Oreochromis niloticus: one gene and its partners. The protein of the gene in region 3 interacts with the protein of the main gene of each other region in a pairwise test. Links are inferred from orthologs where the notes say so. Each region holds a gene or a part of one and is shown on either strand. Other genes may lie near its edges. The genes, in order: hnrnpul1, ccnl1a and prpf40a.

Evidence for each region.
Region 1: the proteins of prpf40a (region 3) and hnrnpul1 interact in a two-hybrid assay, tested with the Homo sapiens proteins (2 studies listed by BioGRID and IntAct). The link is inferred for Oreochromis niloticus from reciprocal best matches to the Homo sapiens genes PRPF40A and HNRNPUL1.
Region 2: the proteins of prpf40a (region 3) and ccnl1a interact in binary tests that used the Homo sapiens proteins (3 or more experiments, as listed by UniProt). The link is inferred for Oreochromis niloticus from reciprocal best matches to the Homo sapiens genes PRPF40A and CCNL1.

Annotation. Positions count from the first base shown.
Region 1 is NC_031979.2:33,502,646-33,510,252, forward strand, and holds the start of hnrnpul1 (heterogeneous nuclear ribonucleoprotein U-like protein 1), read left to right. Parts: upstream 1-4,601; 5' UTR 4,602-4,759; intron 4,760-5,241; 5' UTR 5,242-5,283; coding exon 5,284-5,521; intron 5,522-5,740; coding exon 5,741-6,043; intron 6,044-6,368; coding exon 6,369-6,579; intron 6,580-6,678; coding exon 6,679-6,752; intron 6,753-7,062; coding exon 7,063-7,202; intron 7,203-7,607. Other genes in the region: opa3 (optic atrophy 3 protein homolog), read left to right, coding at 849-990, 3,398-3,726.
Region 2 is NC_031979.2:14,102,111-14,109,233, forward strand, and holds the start of ccnl1a (cyclin-L1a), read right to left. Parts: upstream 3,078-7,123; 5' UTR 2,990-3,077; coding exon 2,750-2,989; intron 2,522-2,749; coding exon 2,447-2,521; intron 2,016-2,446; coding exon 1,906-2,015; intron 1,471-1,905; exon of another isoform or gene 1,408-1,470; coding exon of another isoform or gene 1,295-1,407; intron 1-1,294. UniProt on the Homo sapiens protein: Involved in pre-mRNA splicing. Functions in association with cyclin-dependent kinases (CDKs). Inhibited by the CDK-specific inhibitor CDKN1A/p21. May play a role in the regulation of RNA polymerase II (pol II).
Region 3 is NC_031987.2:14,574,962-14,582,576, reverse strand, and holds the start of prpf40a (pre-mRNA-processing factor 40 homolog A), read left to right. Parts: upstream 1-4,530; 5' UTR 4,531-4,671; coding exon 4,672-4,674; intron 4,675-6,104; coding exon 6,105-6,185; intron 6,186-7,352; coding exon 7,353-7,496; intron 7,497-7,615.

The DNA of each region.
Region 1 (7,607 bases), on a different chromosome or scaffold from region 3:
ATTTAGTCATAGCTGCGTACTGAGTTGAGTTATTTTGGCTGATAGTCCAGCCCCTCGGCTTTCTTCACTGCTGTAACCCGAGCCAGGTGTTTCTACCACAGCTGTTCCAGGTGAAGTATATAATCTGTGAGGGAGGAGTTGCGTATTATTTAGTATCTCGCAGACAGGTAACTGTTGATTTTTTTTTTATTCACACCCTCACTTTTAAATAGAAATACATATATTTTTTCAGTTTATGAACTGTGTGAAATATATATATGCATATATATGCTACCATATATAGCCTACGTTACATGTATAATAATAGACTATTGTTTTACAAACACAATTATGTATTTTTAAAAAGACATAACTGTGTTTTAATTCGTTGGGCCTACATACATTAGCATATAACTTCCGATACACCAGTCTCTCTCATTTAAAAAAAAAATAAAACCATAAAATAGTATCTTACTGTAGTTTATAATGGTTGTGCAGTGTGGAAATGATCTAACATGCAGCAATGCAATATGATGCCACGTAAAAAGTAGTTTGTCATTTTATTAATTTAATTAATTACCTATTTAATTCATTTTTAAAGAGAAAATTAATGTCAAACATCAATGCTGTTATTTAAATTGGGAAAGACGGGACGTTTATCATTAAGTGAGTTCTAACTAATAGCAAAACAAGATAACAAATACAAACAAATACGTCGATAAATAAATAACCAAATAAGTAAGGAAATCAGGGCGTTTCACTTCACGAGACTTGGACACGTGGACGGATTTGTGACTGGGCTTGTCAATCATAAACGTCATCACGTAACCTCTACGCACTCCGCCCCATTGAGAAGCGTTTCCGCCAAGATGGTTGTCGGTGCCTTCCCTATCGCCAAGCTCCTTTACCTCGGAGTGAGGCAAATGAGCAAGCCTGTGGCTAACCGGATAAAAGCTGGAGCCCGGAGGAGCGAGTTCTTTAAAACTTACATTTGCCTGCCGCCGGCACAGCGTGAGTAATTTGAGCTAACGGCTGCTAATGGCTTAGAGTTCAGTCCAGTCACCTCTGACGGTTGATAAGCATGGAGAGCCGCAACAACCAATGACAATGAACCTGAAATGACTGTTATCCAATCATCTTTAAGAATTTATATCTTCGACCAATAGTAGCCAGGCAAGCTCTAAAAGGGCGGGTCTTGTCTGTCATTGAACAGGTTGTGTTAGCCTTTGCAATGAGGGCACGGCAGGACAACTGTAGTCCTAACACCCTATTCAGAATGTGACGCTGACTTTAATTAGACAGAAATATGCTAAGTGGACACTGAGCTCTATTGTTTAGGCATATCTGACTTGTTTGTGTTAGTCATTTAGAATACTTCGCAGGCGGCAAGTAAAGCTTACTGTGTATATCATGTTGTGTTTGTAATTGTGTTCTCCATCATTCATTTTCAGATAATAAAAAAGGCTACAAATAAAAAAGAAGCTACAGTTTTTCGTTAAAGATTAAAAAATTTTTTCGTTAAAATTTTAAGTAAATTAATGGATCAAATCGAGCTTTTATGAAAAGGTGCTGGAGGAAAAAATGGCATGGTATTATTTGTTGACCGAGTAGATAAAATGCAATAAAAGGTTTGATTACTATTAAAAGGTAGTCTTATCTTCATATATGATGGCTGAGTGAAGCAGAAAGGATTTTACTCCAAACTGTGAAAGTGTAGTCATACTTAGAGCTGTCAGGAGGTGAAGGGGGGAAAGACATTAGAGCAATAAGGTGAAAGTACACCAGCTTTTGAGGAGTCTGAGCAGGGGCAAAATGACAACACACAAAATTTGTTATGGACAAGAAATATTATGTAAGCTAAGGCTCTGAGGGATTTGGCCTCTCAGTTGCCATACAGGACACCCGTGAGTGTGAAGGGATTCATCTTTACATGGCAACCTTCTTGCATTCTGTTTAAGAGACTTCTCACTTTCCATGGGGCTTTATTCTTTTCCCACTTATCACTGACATCAAGAAAATGTTTCTCTTTGATGGACTGCTGAATCTTGAACTATTAACCAGTAAATTTGGATCCCAAGTTAGGTGGTGACCACAGATATGCTGAAGAATGTTTCAGTTTTAATGCTACATTCAAAAATGAGCATCTCCCTCTTGTTTGTGCCCTGAAAAAAAAGAAAAAAGAAACCTGGTTGCCTAATTTCTGTGTAATGTATTAAGAGCACCACTGATTTAGTGGTTTTGGACAGTGCTTTCCTGTTTTCATGTTTTATGCTAAAAACAATTTCAACCCAATTTCAGTAAGGTATTAATGCTACGTTCCCTTCAGAGATGACCACCACCTTCTGGTTTTTGAGCACTGAGATTGTTTTCTGTTTGATTTAATCAGAGGATCACCTGTTTGGTGGTTGTGTGCAGCGTTGTCCTCTTTTCATTCTAAAAAATTTTTAACCCTATTTCAACCAGGCTCCTCAAAAACTGAAATGTGTTCCTCTGAGCTTTCAACTTTCGGCTCTGATGTCTGGCATTCCCCCAGCTCATCTCCTCACGGCAATAAGACTGACTCCCCTTCTGCAGTTCTCAATAAAATCCAGTCTGCCTCATCCTACTCTTTGCTTCCTGAAGTGTGGTAGCAGAATGAGAGGTAGTAAGTCTTCTGTCCACTAGAAAGGACACTGAATAAAAAAGTAATTGCTGGGTCCTAGGAGGCTATGTCACAATTGAAGACAAATATAACCTACATAAAATGATAAACTCTTCAACTTCTTTGTTGTCTTTATTTATTGCACAAAAGTTCAGTTGCAGCTAGAACAGTAAGTGAAGATGTAAATATAATTCCTCATACAAACCTTTTTAGCAGCCACAGTCTCTGGTATGCATGTTATTTAATTGCTTATAAGAGTTGCACAACAATGAAGGAGAATTTTGGACAACTCCCAGCAAAACCTGTTTTAGTTCAGGATTTATGTGATGCTTTAGTTGAACGGCCCTTTTTAGCCACAGCATCTCACTAGGGTTAAGGTCGTGGATCTCCTTTAGGTTATTGTCTTGTACATAGCATTACACAACCTCTCCCGTGCTTCAGGGTATGGACTGCTGGGCTGAAATTCTCCTCTAAAACATCTTGAAATACATTTTACTTTATTATTATTTCAGTGATTGCAATTGTCCATCACCTGAAGTTACAAAGCCTCCTGAAAACATAGTGCTGCCTAGACCGTGAATCTCAGCTGGGTAGAAGATTATAATAAATTATAGTGCAATGATGACATGCATCTTAAACCATAAATGCAGTTTCTCCTGTATTCACAACTTTTGACCAGATTATCTGATCCTTTTAATGAAAAAGTGAACAGGACCCAAACATATTCAAAGTCTAACAACTCTTTCCTTATATACTGTATGCTCCTTGTTCCAACAGTTTATCACTGGATTGAGATGAGAACAAAGATGCGGATCATGGGCTTCAGGGGAGCCACCATTAAGCCGCTGAACGAGGAATCGGCAGCAGAGCTGGGCGCCGAGTTACTGGGGGAGGCAATCATCTTCCTCATTGGTGGTGGATGCATGGTGTTAGAGTACAGCAGGCAGGCGGCTAACTCTCGCCGTAAAGAGGAGGAGCTGAACGAGACCCTCATAAGCCTACAGACGCAACTGGCAGAATTATCCCTAACGACAGAGACTCTAAGTGCGCAGCTGAGAGAGGTCAACAGGCAACTGCTGTCATTTCCTGTTCCCACCAAAAAGTAACAAATTTAGTTGTTTGCTATACAGCAAGGCATAATGTCGGGTTGTGGGGTGAAGGAGTGAGTGCACGTGTATATGTACAGCCTCATAGCTTTGAGCTGGGTGGAAGAGGTTGATATAAGTATATCACTGCAATGTGGATTTGGGTACTGTCATTTGCTCATGTTCTGAGCAACTAGTTGTAAAAAAAAAAGGGAATTGCTATGATATTCATAGTGAATTTCACTGGCTGACCTTGCATGTTCATTGTAAAGTTGACTGAGTGTATATAAAAACTAAAGTGGTGACCTTAAAGTTGATATATACATATATATTTTTAACAGCTTCAGCATATTCCTTTCTTTGTAATTCAGTGATCCTCGTAGACCTTAATCACTTTGGAAATGCTGAATTATATGATTTTTTTTTTTTAAATACTAATTATGAGTTACTATTAATGGAAAAAAAATATAAACACCAAAAAACAAAACCAGCTCATATCAGTGGATTAGTTTTTGAGAGAATCTGCCCCTGTACTGTCCATAAAATTCCATGTTGTAATTGCTGGTTTGTAATTGGATGTATGGTGACAATTGGAAAAAAAAAAAATTGAAATAAAACGATATGCTGGCTGTTGATAGCGTTTTTGTCATGTTTAATACGAAACAAGCGAATAAAAACTGAAAGCACCTCCAGAGTGGATGATGTCCCGCGTTTCTTCACATTACTGTAAAACTACAGTACCCAAGATGACGTCAATGTAACACTTCCTACTTTGGAACGCTCCAAGTGCTTAACGCGTAACATACAAAACATCGTTCTCTTTGATTTCATCTAAGATTATATGGTACAAATTAGTTAATGGTAAACTCGCGCTATTTGGTAGCTCAAAGAAGTGCATCCCAGTGTTTTACATTTGCAGCAGAATAATAAATTCAACCAACCGGCTCTGCTTAACTTCCGGTTCTGAGTTTGGTCAGGTTTGTGGCGCCAGGGGGCGGTAGCAACTCTTTCAGTCTTCTAACACGACTTGCCCGCGCAACTTGGGTGAAAGGAGGTAGGCCTCAACCTTGTTTCGTAAATATATTCTGTTTCAGTTCTAAACTATAAGCGGAGTGCACAGTGCATTATCTCCTGGACTTGCATGCAGACAAAGTATGGGTTGCAGCTTGCTTATTGTCTGAGTTAAAGTTTCTTCCCTTGCAGCGGCTGTCGGTACGTTAGCTAATGCTAGGCTAAGAACGTTAGCTGCTCAGCGAGATCTTCAGACGAGTAATAGCATTAGCATCTATTTTAGGGATAGTTTTGTCTTGCAAATGGTTATATTGGTAACGGCTGCAATAAAACACGAGTTTAATGGTTCACAGACGTGTAGTGGAACACTCTTTAGTCTTACAGAATCTGTCCAGCGTTGCTAGCTTAGCTAAACGGCTAACGCAGCCAGGCTGTGGACACGGTGCCGCGCAGCAGATAACATTTGAAAGTTATAAGGCAGTGTTTTTAGAAGTACCTGACCATTCCCCCCCCCATTTTTTGTAGCAAATAAAGACAACAGCCACCGAGTAGACATCTAAAATCACAATGAGTGTTGACGTGAAGAAACTGAAAGTCAATGAGTTAAAAGAAGAGCTCCAGCGCCGTGGCCTGGACACCAGAGGCCTGAAGGCAGACCTCGTAGAGAGGCTGAAAGCCGCTCTGGAGGCTGAAGCTAAGGCTGATGCTGGTGAGCAAGAGGATAAAGGGGATCAGCAGCAGGAAGAGGAATACGGTGATGACTACCAAGACAATGAAGATGAAACGGATCCACAAGAGCAGCAGGGTAAAGTACTATTTCATTAAACATTTCACTTCCATGAAACTAGTTTTATTACGTTGTTTTGGACTTTGATCCAATTTCTGCCCTTTGCTGGCATTACATTTTAAGCACTTCACTGTGCTTGAGTATAAATTAAAGTTTCAAAGTTGGGAAATGTCAACAAACTCTTTACTTTACAACCTAGAGAACACCTAAACTAAGTTTAAAATTTTACCTTTCCAGATTCAGAAGCAGCTGAGGACTATGGTGGTGGTGATGAAGCTGAAGGTGATGAAGCTGAAGGTGATGCCCCTCAAGATGAAGATGAGGGCCGAGATTCAGGTGGTTACTATGAAGAAGAGGAGGCAGAAGGTAACCCGTATGAAAGTCAGACTCCTTCAGACTCAGGCCACAATGTGCCTGACTTCACAGCAGATGAGGATATTCAGAAAACTGACATGATGTCTGAGGAAGAGACCAAGCCTGCAACAAAGGAAGTGGAGGAGGAGGAGAATGAAGAGGAGGAGAATGAAAAGAATAGACAAGGTAATTTTTCATTACTTTTATTACACAGTTGATTTTTATAGTCTTGTATTCATCTCTGATGGCACTGGTTGAGAATAGAAACGCTTTTCAGAGATTCAAACGTTTTACTGTTACTTACTGCCGACATGCAGAGGTGGCACAATGACCCAGTGATCTGCTTAAACTAAATGATGCTAAAGGTAGTGTAAAATTTTCCTTGTGGACTTTGGCAATACAGTAAAGACATGTAAACCAAACACTCAAACTGCTCTCATACCTAGTAGAAAAATTTCATGAACTTGTTTTCATGCTAAAAGGTGTTATGTGTGTTCATGTCTAATTATAGAAGTTAAAGTAGAGGTCAAAATGGAAGATGAATCTGAGGGTGCAGGTGAAAGGCAACAAGATAATCAGCACGAACAGCCGCATGGGGAAGATACCGCGGGCCAGCCAGAGCAAGTCAAAACTGAAGCTGAGAGAGGTGGACACTATGGACGTAAGAGGCCATATGAGGAGAACAGGGGCTACAGCTATTATGAGCACCGTGAGGAGAAGAGGTGAACTTCTACATGGTTTTCTAAGTTAACACAACTGTCTACACTCGGAATGGATAACACAAAGTGTACTACAATAAATACTCTGGTGTTATTATACAGATCCCGAACACCACAGCCTCCTGCTGAAGATGAAGAGGAGAACATAGACGACACTCTTGTTACAATTGATACATGTAAGTATGGTACATTTAAATAGTGTGTGAAAAAACTAGTATCAGTGTGCTGTCTATGGTTGTTTATAAATACCAGAGACTATGGGAAGTTGGACTGTTGTAGCAGACAAAGAGTCAGTTATTGACTACATGCTTTTGTTGATGGATTACCTGTAACATTTTGATATATGTATGCTCTGCTCTAATCTACAATGATCATGAGCGCACACTATAGCTGCAGAAAAGCGGACTAGATGTAGACTACCATCTTATGGCTGATATAGATGTGTTTGATGTTTTATCTAAATGTGCTTAACTCTTTGGTTTTCAGACAATTGTGATTTGCACTTCAAAGTTTCCCGAGATCGCTACAGTGGTTATCCACTGACCATTGAAGGCTTTGCTTACCTTTGGGCTGGGGCACGAGCAACTCATGGAGTCACCCAGGGACGCGTGTGCTATGAGATGAAGGTAGATGGATGCGTTTCTCCAAAGGCTTAGTAGTTTTAAAACTAGACATTTGTGCTGATGAGGTCAGACCTATTTTATGAAATGCTACCAATTTGGTGTTGTGTAATGATTACTGATACATGAAAACTTTGTGTTAATTATTGATATAGTGGATGGGGAAACTTTACTATTAACAAGCATTATCGTCAAATGTAAGAATAGCATTACCCTGTTGGCCTTTAAACCAATGTAGTTGAAAACACCATTTTTATAGAAGCTCTAGTTAACTTTTGTTTTGGTTTTGTTTTTTTTTTTTTTAACTAATGTCAAGTAATCCTTCTGGTTCTCTCACACACACACACACACACACACACACACACACACACACACACACATATATATATATGTATTAGGCAAACAGAAATC
Region 2 (7,123 bases), on a different chromosome or scaffold from region 3:
ATCAAAATAAAATATCGTTTCCCTCTTGCATTTAAAAGAAAGAAACAAAACAAAATTTAAAAAAGAAAAAAGACAGTGCCCTTCTGAATTCCTGCGCCCCTTCGTTTTTCCCATTTCAACCAACTTAAAGCAACAGTTAACTGTTTGCATGCCTGACAGTTTGCTGGGGTTTGTGGACTCCTGTGGTTCCAGTGAAAGCTTGTGAGATTCAAAGACAGCCCTCAACCCAAAAAACACACCCTGTGCCACAGCCTTAACAGAAATATCAACTTGGTGCTAACATCACTAATTCACTACAGATGTGTTGAACCTCAAGCTTAACGCTACTTTAAAATAAAAATGGAAAGCCACTATTACTGTACTCCGTCACAACTCATTCTCATCTATATTCTTATACTGTATGTCAGTATACTGCAAATTAACTGACCAAAACCATGGGCCAGAACCATCGTCTGGATGCAGACAATCCAGACTTGGAAGGAAAACACTCAGAGCAGGGATTTTTTTGGATCAAGTGACCCTTCACATACTGTACTGTCCCACAAAACATTCCACTGATGAAGACAAACTTGTGGAAAGAAAATCCACAACAAAATTTAAAAAAAACAAAACAAAAAAAACGAACGAACAAAACTGATACACCGTCTGCTCAAGTTGCCCGTCATCGTGCTCACAAGATGAATTAAAATCTGGAATGGAATTAAACCACAATGATTTGTGAGAGTCATTCATTATATAGCATGACCCCTGACAAACCAGTAAAATTCAATTTAAAGTTCAGAGTCTGCCATTCTAATGTCTCAAATATACTCTAATGTGAATGTTACACTACAAACCACATGCATGGTAAAAAGTGAAAACAAAAATAACCTCTGAGGACTAAAGACAATACAACAAGCACAAATCCCAACCCTAACATTACACCTCTTTTATATATACACCTCACAGCTACACTTAAGAAATGCAAAATCAAATTAACAGCATATAATGGCAAATTGTTGAAGCTAAAGAACATGCACTGACCCTCACTCAACAAAAACCGACAGACTCACAGTAACCAACTAATCATTCTAATTCTAACACACGAGATGATACTTCTTTAAAAGCCATGGTTGCAGCTGGTGGTGGATGGGGTGTTGCTCTTTAAGCACAATTAAAATGCATGGTGAGGAGCAGTCAGAGAAGAAAACTACATTACCCAAGGGTCCGCAGAATGACGGACAGATACCCAAAGCTTAAGACTGAACCACAGGAGTCCTCAAGGCGCCCCGGGGGCCAAGGACCTTCGGCCAACCTGTCATCCCCGATCCCAGTGCCCCGCGGTGGCTCAGACCACGGGAGTCTCCCGCAGGAGGGGGTGGGGTGGGCCTGGGGGAGGAGGGAGACCCCCCTCGCATCATGGTTCATGCCGACAGCTTCATCTTACGTACCATTCCACATCACCCAGGCTTTGGTAAATGTAGCTGGTCGCTGTTAGTTGGTTGCAAGGGAAAAAAGAAGTCAAGTTAATGCCAAAATCTGTAATATTGACATCAACAGATTTGTATGAAGACACAGGTACAGCTGCTTTGTCTGTGACTGTGTCTTACAAATAATAGACTTGAATTTTTGAAGCCAGTTGTTTGAGGCATTAATTTCAGTGCAATGTCAAACTGATGTTAAATGTAGACAATTACACTGCAAAACTACCAGTGAAGCGGAAACTGAAAAGTTTTAAAATGGTTTAGAGTACATGGATAAACAAAAGGGCACTTTCACAGCAAAAACACAGATCAGCATCAAACATTACATAATACAAAAATAAGAAAACAAAAACAGAATAAAAAAACATTGCAATGCAACATTTTTCACATATTAAATAATTATTTTCAAGAGGAGAACATTGGATTAATTTGGAGTGCTTACTTTTTTCCTCTGAGCTGCTTCAGGTGATGGAAAACATTAATGACATCTCGTATTCGCCGTGGTGCTTCTTCTATCTTGGAGGCCAAGTTGATGCAAGCCATGGCAACAATCTGGAAAATAAAATGATAAGCAAACAGGAATGTTTACTACAGGAAGCTGAGCTCAAGTTATCAGAACACAAACACGAAACCAAAAATAAAGACAACAATATAAGGCTATCCTGTTTTGTTGTGGGGGGTGATGTGTACTTTTCACATACCCTATCCTATCAATCCACTCTACAAACGTAATGATGTACTAAAACAAATGCTGACACTACAATAGTGCAAGTGTTTTAATGCAGTGCTATTGTGTACTTCGAGTCTGTGCTCAGTTTCGCACTCATAGGAGGTCCCACTTTATCGTTGAGTTCTTTAACTGGTGGAGTTAGACTCGACAATATGGCTGCCACTAACGTAGGTACAACGTTATGCAATGCTATGCTAACAATACCGGCCGACCAGCGGCCCGGCAACACTCCGGAAACTCTTAACACACTTACCTCGAAACTGTGCTTGACGAAGGACTTGGAGTAGAAAAAACGATGGAAAAGTACTTGAGCTGTTGCCATTGCGACCTGTCGAACGGGGGCGAAAAAAGAGCATGATAATTGTACTTCGTCTTGTGTAAACTGGCCTAACCTTGCACAATGGATCGCCGCCATTTTAATTCCACCACGCCAACGTCAAGAGCTAACATTTAGCACACCGCTGACAACTAGGCCGCAAAAACTACAAGCCACATTAACTTTCGCCTATTATTATCAAACACCCAGCACTAATGTAGTGCAGTCAAGAGCGCTTACCTGTGGCAACCGGAGGAGAATACCCGCTGACTGAATCAGCTCACAGCCAAGAATACGAAGGTCGGCCTCTGTGTTCAGGTCGAGGCCGTCGAACATCGACGGCGTCGTTGAGAGCCTTTCCTCCGGTACAAGCGAGTTGTCGATTGTAAGGTACACTTCTGAGTAAAATTTGTCGCCAATGAGAATCCCATCATTGTTAGTGGAGGCATTGGAAGATACAGAGAGAGGACCTGCGGCCATCTTCACCTGAAAAACAACGGTTAGCAGCTACAGCGAACACAGCCTCCACACGGTAACAGCGGAGCAGGGTGACTGGCGAAGTGCGTGACGTCAACATGCAGTTCAGATGGAAACGCTGTGTACATCCGCAGTGGTAAATAGTCTCGCAACATTGACTCGTTAAAATGTACAAGTGCACGTAACCTGAATGTATTTAAATATTCTAAATATATGTTACAAATATTTTAATAATAAGCAAAACAATTCACCTGGTATATAATGTTTCATTGCTTTCCGTTTTAAGCTACAGCAAACTCTTTGCTTCAATTTCACCTTTAAAATCCTGTGTCAAAATACTTCAGATAAACACCATAAACAATTTAATCCCGAAAACAAAATGTACTTGACGCATGACTCAAATCAGTTTTATTACTGGCACTACATTAACATTCACTGTAGCACTACTAGTGACAGTTTTCTACGTATTACTCATTAAACGTCACTGCCGGTAATGCCTGCTAAATTTCCGACGTCACCCAAAGGCAGCAGAAGAGAACACATCGCCACTGGTCGCCACCAACGGTTTCTGTGACGTGATTTACGGGAAAGTCCGGACTTGTCACTATTACCGCTAGAACATATCCATCCGCCAATTTAAAATAAAGGAAGAAAATATTAAAGAAATGTATTTTAAAAAGACCAGTTTAAATAATTCCGTTAATAAATAATTAATTGTTTGTTTGGTCTACTCACAGACTACGGGGAGTTGTTGTATTTCATCTTCAAAAAAACTCAGAAAATTAGGTAGAATGAATTGTGACTAACTGTTAAACTTAATTTTAAGACTTGCCTGGGGAGCAGTTTTGACTTTGCAATTCTGTATGCAGGTTTTATATCCCAAACATTAAAGTAAGATACAATTTCAAAATAAATCCTCAAAAAATTGACCAGAAGTGTTACCAAGATTGCTGTGAAGTGGCACTTACTTCCAGAAGGACTATGATCATGTCAAAGACGGCAACAACACAGTATTTAATGCGGGGAACACTTTGTTCAGTGACAGCTCAGCTCACAGGATTTTATTGCCTGAAGCCTTGTAGTTACCAAAAGCAGTCAGCAGAGGAAAGTAGAGACCCACCAGTTGCTACAAGAGAAGCTCTGCGGTTCCTCAGGTCATTCAGTTTATTCTGTGTGGACTTGCATGCTCATCATGCTCATCTTGTCCCCTTTCTCCTTCAACAAACCCACAGGCACTACAGTTAACTGATGACCAGAGTAAATGTCATAAAATGTTTCATCTTTACTCACAAATATGTCTTTGCTGGTTTACCTGTGGTTCTCTGCCAGTCTATGACACAAAGACTTTCAATGTAGCTTTTTTATTTTTTATTCCTGTAGTTTTATTGATCTTTTATTCCAAATGGGCAAAACATTGTGTTCACTTGTTTGAAGTGTGTAGTAGCTGCTGTTAGTTTGTACTGTTAGTTTTTGAGGTTGTAATCATCGTGGTGCCCTCTTGTACAGGCTGTCAGACTGTTTAATGTGAGCATTTGATGGAAATAAAACTACTACTTGTCTAATCTACCAAAAGTTAGTCAAATTAGTCAAAAATAAATGGATTAAATATAAAGTGCAGTTCTTAATCGATGATTTGTTTTATGAAGCTGGGGGGGAAAGCCATTAAAACCTACCTTGCCCTGTGTGAAAAGCTCCCTGCTCCCTCTTGTTAAATCATGGATTAACTGTAATTAAACAAGTTTTTTTTTAGAAAACTGAGTTAATTTCCTGAGCCACACCCAGGCCTGATAACTGCCAGACCTGTTGAATCAAGAAATCACTTAACCTGTCTGACAATGTGAAGCGGGCTAAAAGAGAAATGCATCGTGCCATGATCTAAACAAGTTCAAGAACAGCTGAAACACAAAATCATTGACATCTATCAGTATGAAAAGGGTTACAAAGCTATTTCTAAGCCATTATCCAAAAATGGAGAAAGACTGGAACAGTGGCGGACCTTCCCAGGAGTGGCCACCCCACCAAAATTATTCCAAAAGGGCATCAACTCATCCAGGAGGTTGCAAAAGAACCCAGAACAATATCTAAAGACCCACAGGCCTCACTTGTTACAGTTAAGGTCAGAGTTCATGAATCATAATAAGAAAGATCCATCCATCCATCAATTCTCTTTCGCTTATTCAGGCCAGGTGGTGGGAGCAACAGCCTAAGCAGAGAAGCCCAGACCTACCTCTCCCTACCCCCCTCAGGGTTATCCATGGGAACACCAAGGCGTTCCCAGGCCAGCCAAGAGATATCTCTTCAGTTGTCCTGGGTCTGCTCCGGGGCATCCTTCTGATGGGACATGCTGGGAACACCTCACCCAGAAGGCGCCCAGGAGGTACCCCTGTCAGATGCTCGAACCACCTCAACCGGCTGCTTTCAATGTTAAGGAATATTGGTAAGGGATGGGAAGTGATAAGAACTTAGCCATTCTGATTCTATGATCTATTTTACTTATTGATTCAATTCCTTATCAATTCTCTTAGCGATTCTTATTGGGTTCTCACTAGCTCCGCTCTGCGAGTTACCACCATTACCAAGCACCACATTACATTTATGCAAATTAATTGCATGTTGTGTGGTCTAATGTTGTGATCAGTGTTGAGTCATTACTCAAAAAAAGTAATTATTACACACATTACACATAACATTTTTATTACATTTTTATTACACATCACATCTATCACATCTTTCTCTTAGCATTTAGGTATGAACACAAAGCCAACAACACAAAACAAAGATGAAATTCAGCACAAATACACTTCAAAGTAATTGCAACAGTTATTCTAATGTAGAAACACAAGCAGGTAGAAATGAAGGCTGCAGCCTGACTGCTCATCCGCTTGCTACCGATGAAGTTCAGCAGCAGCTGGCCTCACCACAGCTCACAAATGACAAGGAGCCAGGCTTGGGGAGGGTGCCTGAGGTCAAGTGCCTGGTGACTGGGCCTTAGGCCATGGGGCCCTGCTGGTTACAGCCCAAAGAAGGGACATGGACTCACATTCCTGTAGGCCCACCACCCGCAGGGGGCACCATAGGGGTCGGGTTCAATGTGTGCCAGGCGGTGACCAAGGGTGGAGATCCTGGCAGACCGATACCCAGCTAACGAGAATAAGAAAGAGACTGGGCAAAAACAACACCCATAGAAGAATTCTTTGTCAAAAAAACATCTTGATGATCCCAAGACTTTTGGGAAAATATTCTGTGGACTGACGAGACAAAAGCCAAACTTTTTGGATGGTTTGAGTCCTGTTACATCTGACATAGAACTAACACAGCATTTCATGACATACCAGTAGTCAAACATGGTAGTGGTAGTGTGATGGTCTGAGACTGCTTTGTTGTTTGCCATAATTAATGGAACCATGGATACTGCAAAGAAGAGTGGGCCAAAATTCCTCCACAGCCTCATAAAAGACTCAGTGTCCATTATCACAAATGCTTGACTGCAGTTCTTGCTGCCAAGGTTGGCGCAACCAGTTAGTAGGTTTAGGGAGCAATTACATTTACACACAGGGCACCTATACCAGGTAACAGGTCATATGTTTAAACTCAGAGAAAAAAAAATGCAGACGTTAGCTGAACTGACAAGGAAATTATTGCCCAGGCTTAAAGTTTGATCCGTCCACGGTATCACAACCTGTCTGCGGGTCTGTGAAGCATCTACAGGACAGTCATAAATATTTACCCATGTCACACACCGCATGAAGTGACAGACTGAGGTGTCTCACCCCCCACCCTCCCACCCCAACACCTACAACTAGCACCTCCGGCCCCCAGCGCTTACGCAGTTGCCACCACGACAAGAATACAAGCATTCTTTCTCTGGTTGCCTTGGTGACACTAATTATGGGGTGTGGGAGGGCTCACGGGACGGCCGAATTCCGAAACGACCATATCGACGTAGGACAAAGGCGTTCAGGGACGCCCAGTGACGAACAAGGGCTTAGTTATACACACACGCCACTCCCTGGAGCGTGTGTGTGTTTACGAGGAACTTGCACAGATTCCCCAGAGACACGTGTGCATGCCTGCCCTGCTATGATAATTACCTTGCGGAGATCACACTCCCAGTGTGTGTGTGTGACATAAGTGAGT
Region 3 (7,615 bases):
ATATATATATATATATATATATATATATATATATATATATATATATATATATATATATATATATCAGTGTTGGTTAACATATTAGATCACCCATGCAGGGGTGCAGATGAGACAGTGTGAACGTGTTGTATGCACACGTTTGCTTTCAAACAAATAGTGGTATTTCAACAACTCAGACAGTCAACTTTTTCGAGTTGTCTCTTTACTCTATAGACTAATCTTTCAGAGATTTTCTAAGTGAAGTCTAAAAAGTGTACAAATAACACCAAGTACAGTGTCTGACATTTACTGTGACATTCAATGAGATGCCTGCTTACTTTCCTCTGCTTTGCCCTGATGCCGTGGTCATAGGTTTTCTGTCATTTCTGTCTGAGAAAGCGACGAACGCATGCGTGTGGGTGGCATTGCAAAGGGAAAGAAACAGACCATTTGACCAAAATGATTGATATCTGTGAAATCAGCAACTCTTTCAGAAGCAGAGACTGTGACTAGCTGGTGCTCAGCAATCAACAGATTTGTGTCGTGTGAGATAATTGCACCCCAGCCAAGAATCTTGCCAAAAATAGTTTTTCAACTCCTGCAATAAATTTTCTCTGCAGAACACGGGGTGAGAAAAATTACATCTCTAATTTGCAATCTCTTGAATTGCTAGAAGCAGTACAATGTAAAGTCACGGATAAACCAGGCAGCATATAGCATGAATGTCATATGTCATGTTTGACTTTTTTTTTTAAGAGCAGGGCTGAGAGGTCATGATTTCATTGATTATGTGGCTCAGTAATCACCCACAGGTTAAAAAGGCTTTTAGAAAGAAAAAAAATATTTTCTCAAGAAACATAAAAAAACCCACAAGAGCTTTGGTTAAGCGGCATGCCTTTGATTGTCAAAGAAATAACTGGAGGCCAATGTGAACATAAAAAAAATCTTAACTAAAAAGAGCCGGTTAAAATAAACCATAAAAAAATCCATTAATATGCGTCTACAACCCAAAATTGTTTTTTCTTTGTAAAATCTGTGCAACTGAGAGAAGAAAAAACAAATCTTAACAAAGCTTCTTCTGCTCCTTTATTTTATGAGAGGAAATGGAAAAGCAAGCTGGAATTGTAATAGTGTGTTTTGTTGATAGTTAATGTGACTATGGTTGACAGGAAGCCAATTGTCAGATGAGAGAAGAGTGCCTGCAAGGCAGGTCAGCAGCAGGCTGGGCTCAAAGCTCACTGGGTAAAATGGCCAGAAGCAAACATTGACCACATCAAATATTGTGAATCAATCACAAACAAACAGACAGACAGACACACACACACACACACACACAAACACAAACACAAGAATGAGGTTCTGGCAAACAGTGAAACTATGGAACACCAATGCGCATAAAAATACAGCGTATAGGACTGAAGAGTGGAAACTAGTTTAGAAACATCATAGCATTCTCAAGGATTTTAAATATAATATGTCTTTATTCATAAAAAATAAATCAGTTTGTCAAAGCAGCTATGTACAAGTGATGGTGACTCATGGCTGTTTTTTTGTTCATGTTTGATGCACTGTGGTTGACTGACTCCCATCATTAGACTGATCCATCTCTGCCCCTCACTGTCACTGACTTTTTTTTTGTTTTTAGCTTGTTAAGATAATCGATAGGGAATTCTCCTGCGCTTGTCAGGAAATGCATCAGAGTTTATTGCAGTCTGCCTCAAGTGAGGGCTCATCTGTTTTCCAACTCTTTGTTGCATGCTTCACACCTCAGTAGCACTCTAAATCCCAGGGACAGCTCCGGTAAACAACTGCACTGACAGGCATAGAGATAAACCGGACATCGCGTATACCTGTATAATCGATTTTTCGTTTTGAAAAGATCTGAACACGCACGCACGGATCTGATTGTTCAAAACCCTTAATATAGAGTCCAGGCCATCTGCAGAGCAAGAACAGCAATAAATGAAAACATGTTCATTAGGCCATCAAACTAATTTTCTGTTTGAATAAACACCTTAATGGGTGAGCTACTCCTTAACCTTGTTTTGTGTGGAAAATATATGACCGGAATGCAGAAGCAAGAAGGAAAGGAGAAAGAGTGAGTGCTGCAGCCATGTGAAAGACACTTAAAGGTAAACTGTGTAGACTGACTGCTTTATAATTTCCGCTGTCATGGGGAGTCTTTGCAGCACCACAGAGGCCTGAGAGCTGTGTCACAGAAGCCAATAATTGGAAAATCACAGCCGGTCCTTCAAATGATCCCCAATACACCGAGGTAATTTTGCTGTGTCTGAACACCAGCTACCTCAGCTTCTGAAATAGGTACCTGTTATAACATCAAAAATAAAAAAGGGAATCACTCTCTGTTACGGTGTAAAGAGCAACCTGATCGGTATTCATTCACGAACACTAAAAGTTAAAAATAAGGATTTAACAGTTCATAAATTAGTGCCATAATGACAATTACCTTTTACCAGACGTTCCTAATTATTTAAGGCTCTGTGAAAACATTTGTATCAACAACAGAATAATTTATGTCATCTGTGTTTTAATTTGTTTAGAGTAATGTGCAAAAGTTTTTGTATGACCACCTTTATTCTTTAAAACAGGCTGAGCTCTCTTAAACAAGCTTTTTGTTACTTCCTGTAAGTAGTCATCACAAATTATTTTACAGGCTTTTTGAAGGACTTTCCAAAGCTCTTCTTTGGAATCTCTTCTTCCAGTTCTTTTCGAATCAGGCATACAGGGGCTAAAGACCCCTAAGATCAGGTGTACCAGTACAAAAAGGGAAAGGGAAAAAAATATTCAAGCTCCAGCAGATTTTTCATTTTGCACAGGCTAGTACAATTTTTCATTACAAGTGTTAGAATGACCTGTGGTGCTACTCTGATGTTCCCTGCTCTTCGAGGATTTAGCCAACTGAATTCACCAAGATATAAGCAGATGTTTCATGAGCTAAATGATAGAATTTGGTGAGTGAATATAAATGTGAATATAAACTGATGCCTGCTACCCTTGATGTAAATCCTAACATTGACCATGAACGGCACATGTTGCTCTGCACCAGACCAACAGTGTCATGGCTGTAAACTTCAGGACAGTACTGCAAACCAACCAGCATAATCTTCACACTGGTTAGTTTGCAGTTAAAGAAGTTTAATCTAATAAGCACTAACCTCTCGTTAACTGTATGAAACTGCCTGGTATTTTTGTGCAACCTAGCATAAATGTCTCTAGGTAAGATCCAACAACTGATTTAAAAATGCTAAAATGAATTAGGAAATTAGGAAAGATTTACATTTCTGGTTTATAAAATTTCATTTACTTACTGAGCAGTCCTTTTCTTTAAAAATAATCTCATATCTTCATCTTTCTTGTCTTCTTCTTCTTTTTTCTTTTTGTTCTCCTTTTATCAGTGTGGCACATTTACACAAATATACATTTAGCTAGCAGACGCATTTTGTGACAATCTGCAGAGAAATGGTTTATCTGAACATGTGTATGCTAACTAAATATACAAATGTACGCATATACATATTTGTCATATTTATTGTGCTGTTTGAAAAGTTGCACTTGAAATTACCTGCCACGTGAAAAAAACAAACAAACAAACATTAATCCATTTGTGGTTTTTCCTCTTCTGTACAACCAACTAGATCGAAACTTTATTTACATATGCACCATCACAGGGACTGAAAAATGGTTGTTGAAGGTGTAAGCAAGGATGGAATGTTGTTTTCTTATTACTGAGCAACTATCTCCATCCCATCACTGAAAGCAATGCCAGGCTTCAACACATGAAAAATAAACTAATTGATCAGTAATATGCATTAATCTTCTTATCAGGTTTGATAAGCAGTTGAAAGTTGAATACTGTCAATCATGGATTGGCCTCCCCAGAGCCTCGACCTTAACATAATTGAAGCAATGTGGGATCATCCTGACAGATAACAGAACAAAAGGCAACCAGCATCCAAAGAAGAACTTTGAATGTCCCTCAAGAAGCCTGGATAACTGTTCATGAAGACCTTCCTGAAGAAATTACAAGATAGCTTGCCTAAGAGATTTCAGGCTCTGTTGAGTCAAACCAAATATTGATTTTCAAGCCTGTTAGAATTATTCAATCTCTGTTTTTGCCTTATATTTTTTTTATTTCCATGTACTTTTACGCAGATTTCAATAAATTGTTGCACCTATTGCCCATTCTCCCTTTCAAAATATAAAGAAATGAGGATTGGCTCAAGACTGTTGCACAGCATATATCGTATTAATGAGACAAGTTATAAGTATATGTGGCTTTCTCTATATTTGCATATATTTTATGGCATAAATTAAATTTCATAATAGAAAATAGAATTTGTTTATTTATTTATTCATTCATTCATTCATGCAGCTGCAGGGCTATTTTTAGTTTAAGCTATTTAATATCAAGAAACATATAATTTTATGTTTAAGTTTGACTATTGCGTATTGACTTAAAGTGGACTTTTTTCCATCGCTGTTTCTTCCTTGGTTAACACGCTAGTTTCTTTTGGAGGAAACGGTGGTGTTGCGCATTGGTGCGCATTTCCAACGCAGAATGACGCTACAGAATTGTTACCTTTGACCTCTGAGCGCTAGGCGGAAGCTCAACCAATCGTTTTGCTTGTTGTTGAGAAGTGCTCAAATTTCTCGGAGGTTCTTCTCTTCAACATGGTGAGTGCAGGCGTTCAAAAAATAGTTTATAGCGGTAACGAAAAAGACAAAAACTGTTTAGACTTGGTGTATGAATTTTTAAGGCCTGGATAGCAGCCATCTTCTTCTGTAAACTATACCGTAACAATGCTGTGTATCAAAGACCACGGGTTAGCATGTCTTGTTAGCAGTAGGCTAATAAAGCGGTATGTGCCTACCTTCGTGTTATAAACGGTTTCCTTTAGCTGAAGCTTTTTTGGATATAGCACGCCCTTTGCTTTGTTAATGTGTAAAAACAGCAAAACGTGTTACGATATTCGTGAAGTAAAATTACGGTGGTGAAAGTGTATTTGGCTAGTTGAATGATTAATCAGTTGAACTCTTGCGTTGGCTTTTTACGATTCATTTCCAGAGATTAGACGGAGCCTGTAGTCATTCATCACAAACAGCAGCAGTTATTTCAGATTTTTACGATTGTTACCAGTCCACATAATTTACATTAGCACAGACAACGTTACTGGTCAGATTAAGTCAGGAATTAAGTGAACTTTATCTGTTAAAAGTAGTAATTTCGTGGTAGTAAAATAGAATATCCCACTCATGCACCCAAATGAGTGGACTTGAATAGACCATATTTCACATGATGATCATCGTAAACAGTCACTACTATGCTATTTCATGATAATATGCTGTCTGGTTAAACTACAAGGCATTCCTTATGGTTTATTATTCAGGTACAAAAAATGTTAAAGCTTCACGCATTAATTTGTTGTTACCCAGGATATAGGTAAATTCATGTGTTTGCCTGTACCATATGTATGTATTAGAGGACCCTCATTCATTCTGAATAAGCCGGAAGTCCTTTTGAATATTAGTTATGTAAAAAGAAAAAGGAAGCACTTGTTCAAAAGGTAGAGATTAAGGTAGGCACCGTTTCATCCTAAATAAATACGTTTTTTAAATAAACCAACTGCTTGGTAATTTGTCCCCAAATGAGGATTGTGTAATTTTTCTAGTCTTTTGTCTTTCGACATTGTAAGCTTTATATATGTCAAATTCAAACCGATTTCATATAATGTTTTGATTACTGACACCCCGATTAGTACTACCTCATTTAAACTTTCAAACCAAATATTCACGCACTCGTTGCGGTTTCATGTAACTGCACTAATTGAAATGCGCAATATAGCCATTACTTTACTTTTTATGTGCATTTAAAAATGGAGGGGGGTTATTTAAAAATGCTTTATGATCCACATTGTTTATTTGGGAGCAGCCAAAAGAAGAGTAAGGAGTTATTTAGAGTGATTTATTAACTGTAAACTACTTAATTTCACAATTAAACACATATCTGGAGAAATGGTAGTTTTCATGATTGAAGCACACTGCTAACTGCAGAACTGGCTGTTGGGAGTTCACTAACTCTGTGTGGTGTTTCTTACTCCTCACAGTCTTCATCGGAAGCTAATAATGGGCCGAGCCAAGCACCACCTTATCCAGGTGTACCGCCCGCGGCGATACCTCCCCCATTTGTAAGTCATCAAAATGCAGTTTTGTTTACAGATCTAAAAGAACATCCTTTGAATTTCTGCATTGATTACTTATAAATTTGCTGGGGGTTAAAGTTAGAATAATAGGCAATTATATGAATAAATTACTTAGGCAAGAATATCAGTAAACTCTTGCTTCCTATAACAGCAGCAACATCTTACAAAAATTGTTTCCAATAGCTGCTTAAATAATGATACAAACTCCCTTTTTTTCCTCTTTTTTTAAGGAAAGAAAGAAAGGACCTTTCCAGACATTGATTTTATCAACTTGCACACATTTCTGCAGATTTCCAATATTGCATATTGGGCTCATTGGGCCCATGTCTAGGTACAGGTAGAAACGGAGAGCATTTTTTTTAGGCTTAAACATTTTTTCTGTGCAGGAGAAACCCTGACAGTCTTACTCGTATTTATGTATTTATAGGTGACCCAATCTCAACAAAACTGTACAAACGTTCTCTCTCACACAGTAATGATTAACATCTATATATTTAAAACAATAAATTTACTATAAATCACAATTCTTTTGATTTTCGTATTAATCGTCCTCCTGTGAACTTGATCATACATTCTTCACTTGCGTTTGTTTCGCGTGTCATGTTCAACAAGTGTCGCCCATACGTAACTTAAAGGTTGCCAAAATTTGTGTCTGTGGTGGAATTTTCACCACTAAGTGTGGAATGAAGACTTTGAAAAAACGCTTGCTAGATCCCCAAATTTTTAGTCAGTTTGTCTTTGATTCAAAGAACTTCCACATCTGTAGATTTGATTTTTTTTTTTTGCTCTTTCCAGTTTAGCGCATGTATAGTGTTTCTCCTAAGGTCCTGTGAAAGTTAGTGTGACTGAAGCACAGTTCCCCCACCATGTTCATCACACACTGTGGCAGCCAGTGTTCACACACTCCCTATTTTATCTCTTCAGCTAGAACACCTAACTTAAATTAGCCTTTGAAGGAGCAGAGAGTTGCACTTGCTTTCTTTCATTTCCCCCTTTTAGGTCTTACTCATTATGTGTAATTAACTGTGATTCAGAATAATGTTAGATTGCATATTATGTGGAACACTGCAGAGATCCAGGTAATTTCAGAGGGTTAAGAAACTATTTCTTCTAACTACAATATAATGTTTTTGTCTTCCTTCTTTTATGAAGATGGGACCACCTGGAATACCGCCTCATTTCCCTCCCATTGGAATGCCCCCTATGGGACAGCGACCTCCCAGCATGACACCAATGCCTCCTGGTATAATTCCCCCGGGTATAATGCCACCAATGGGGGCACCGCCAATGGGACAGGTGAGCTTTGTAGTAACCTCATAGATTTGTTTGTGTTGGGGTTTTTTTCTCTTTTCTTTCTTTGTGCCTTATGAAGTCTAGGGAAAGAAGAAGTCTAGGGAAAGAAGTCTATGCAGCCT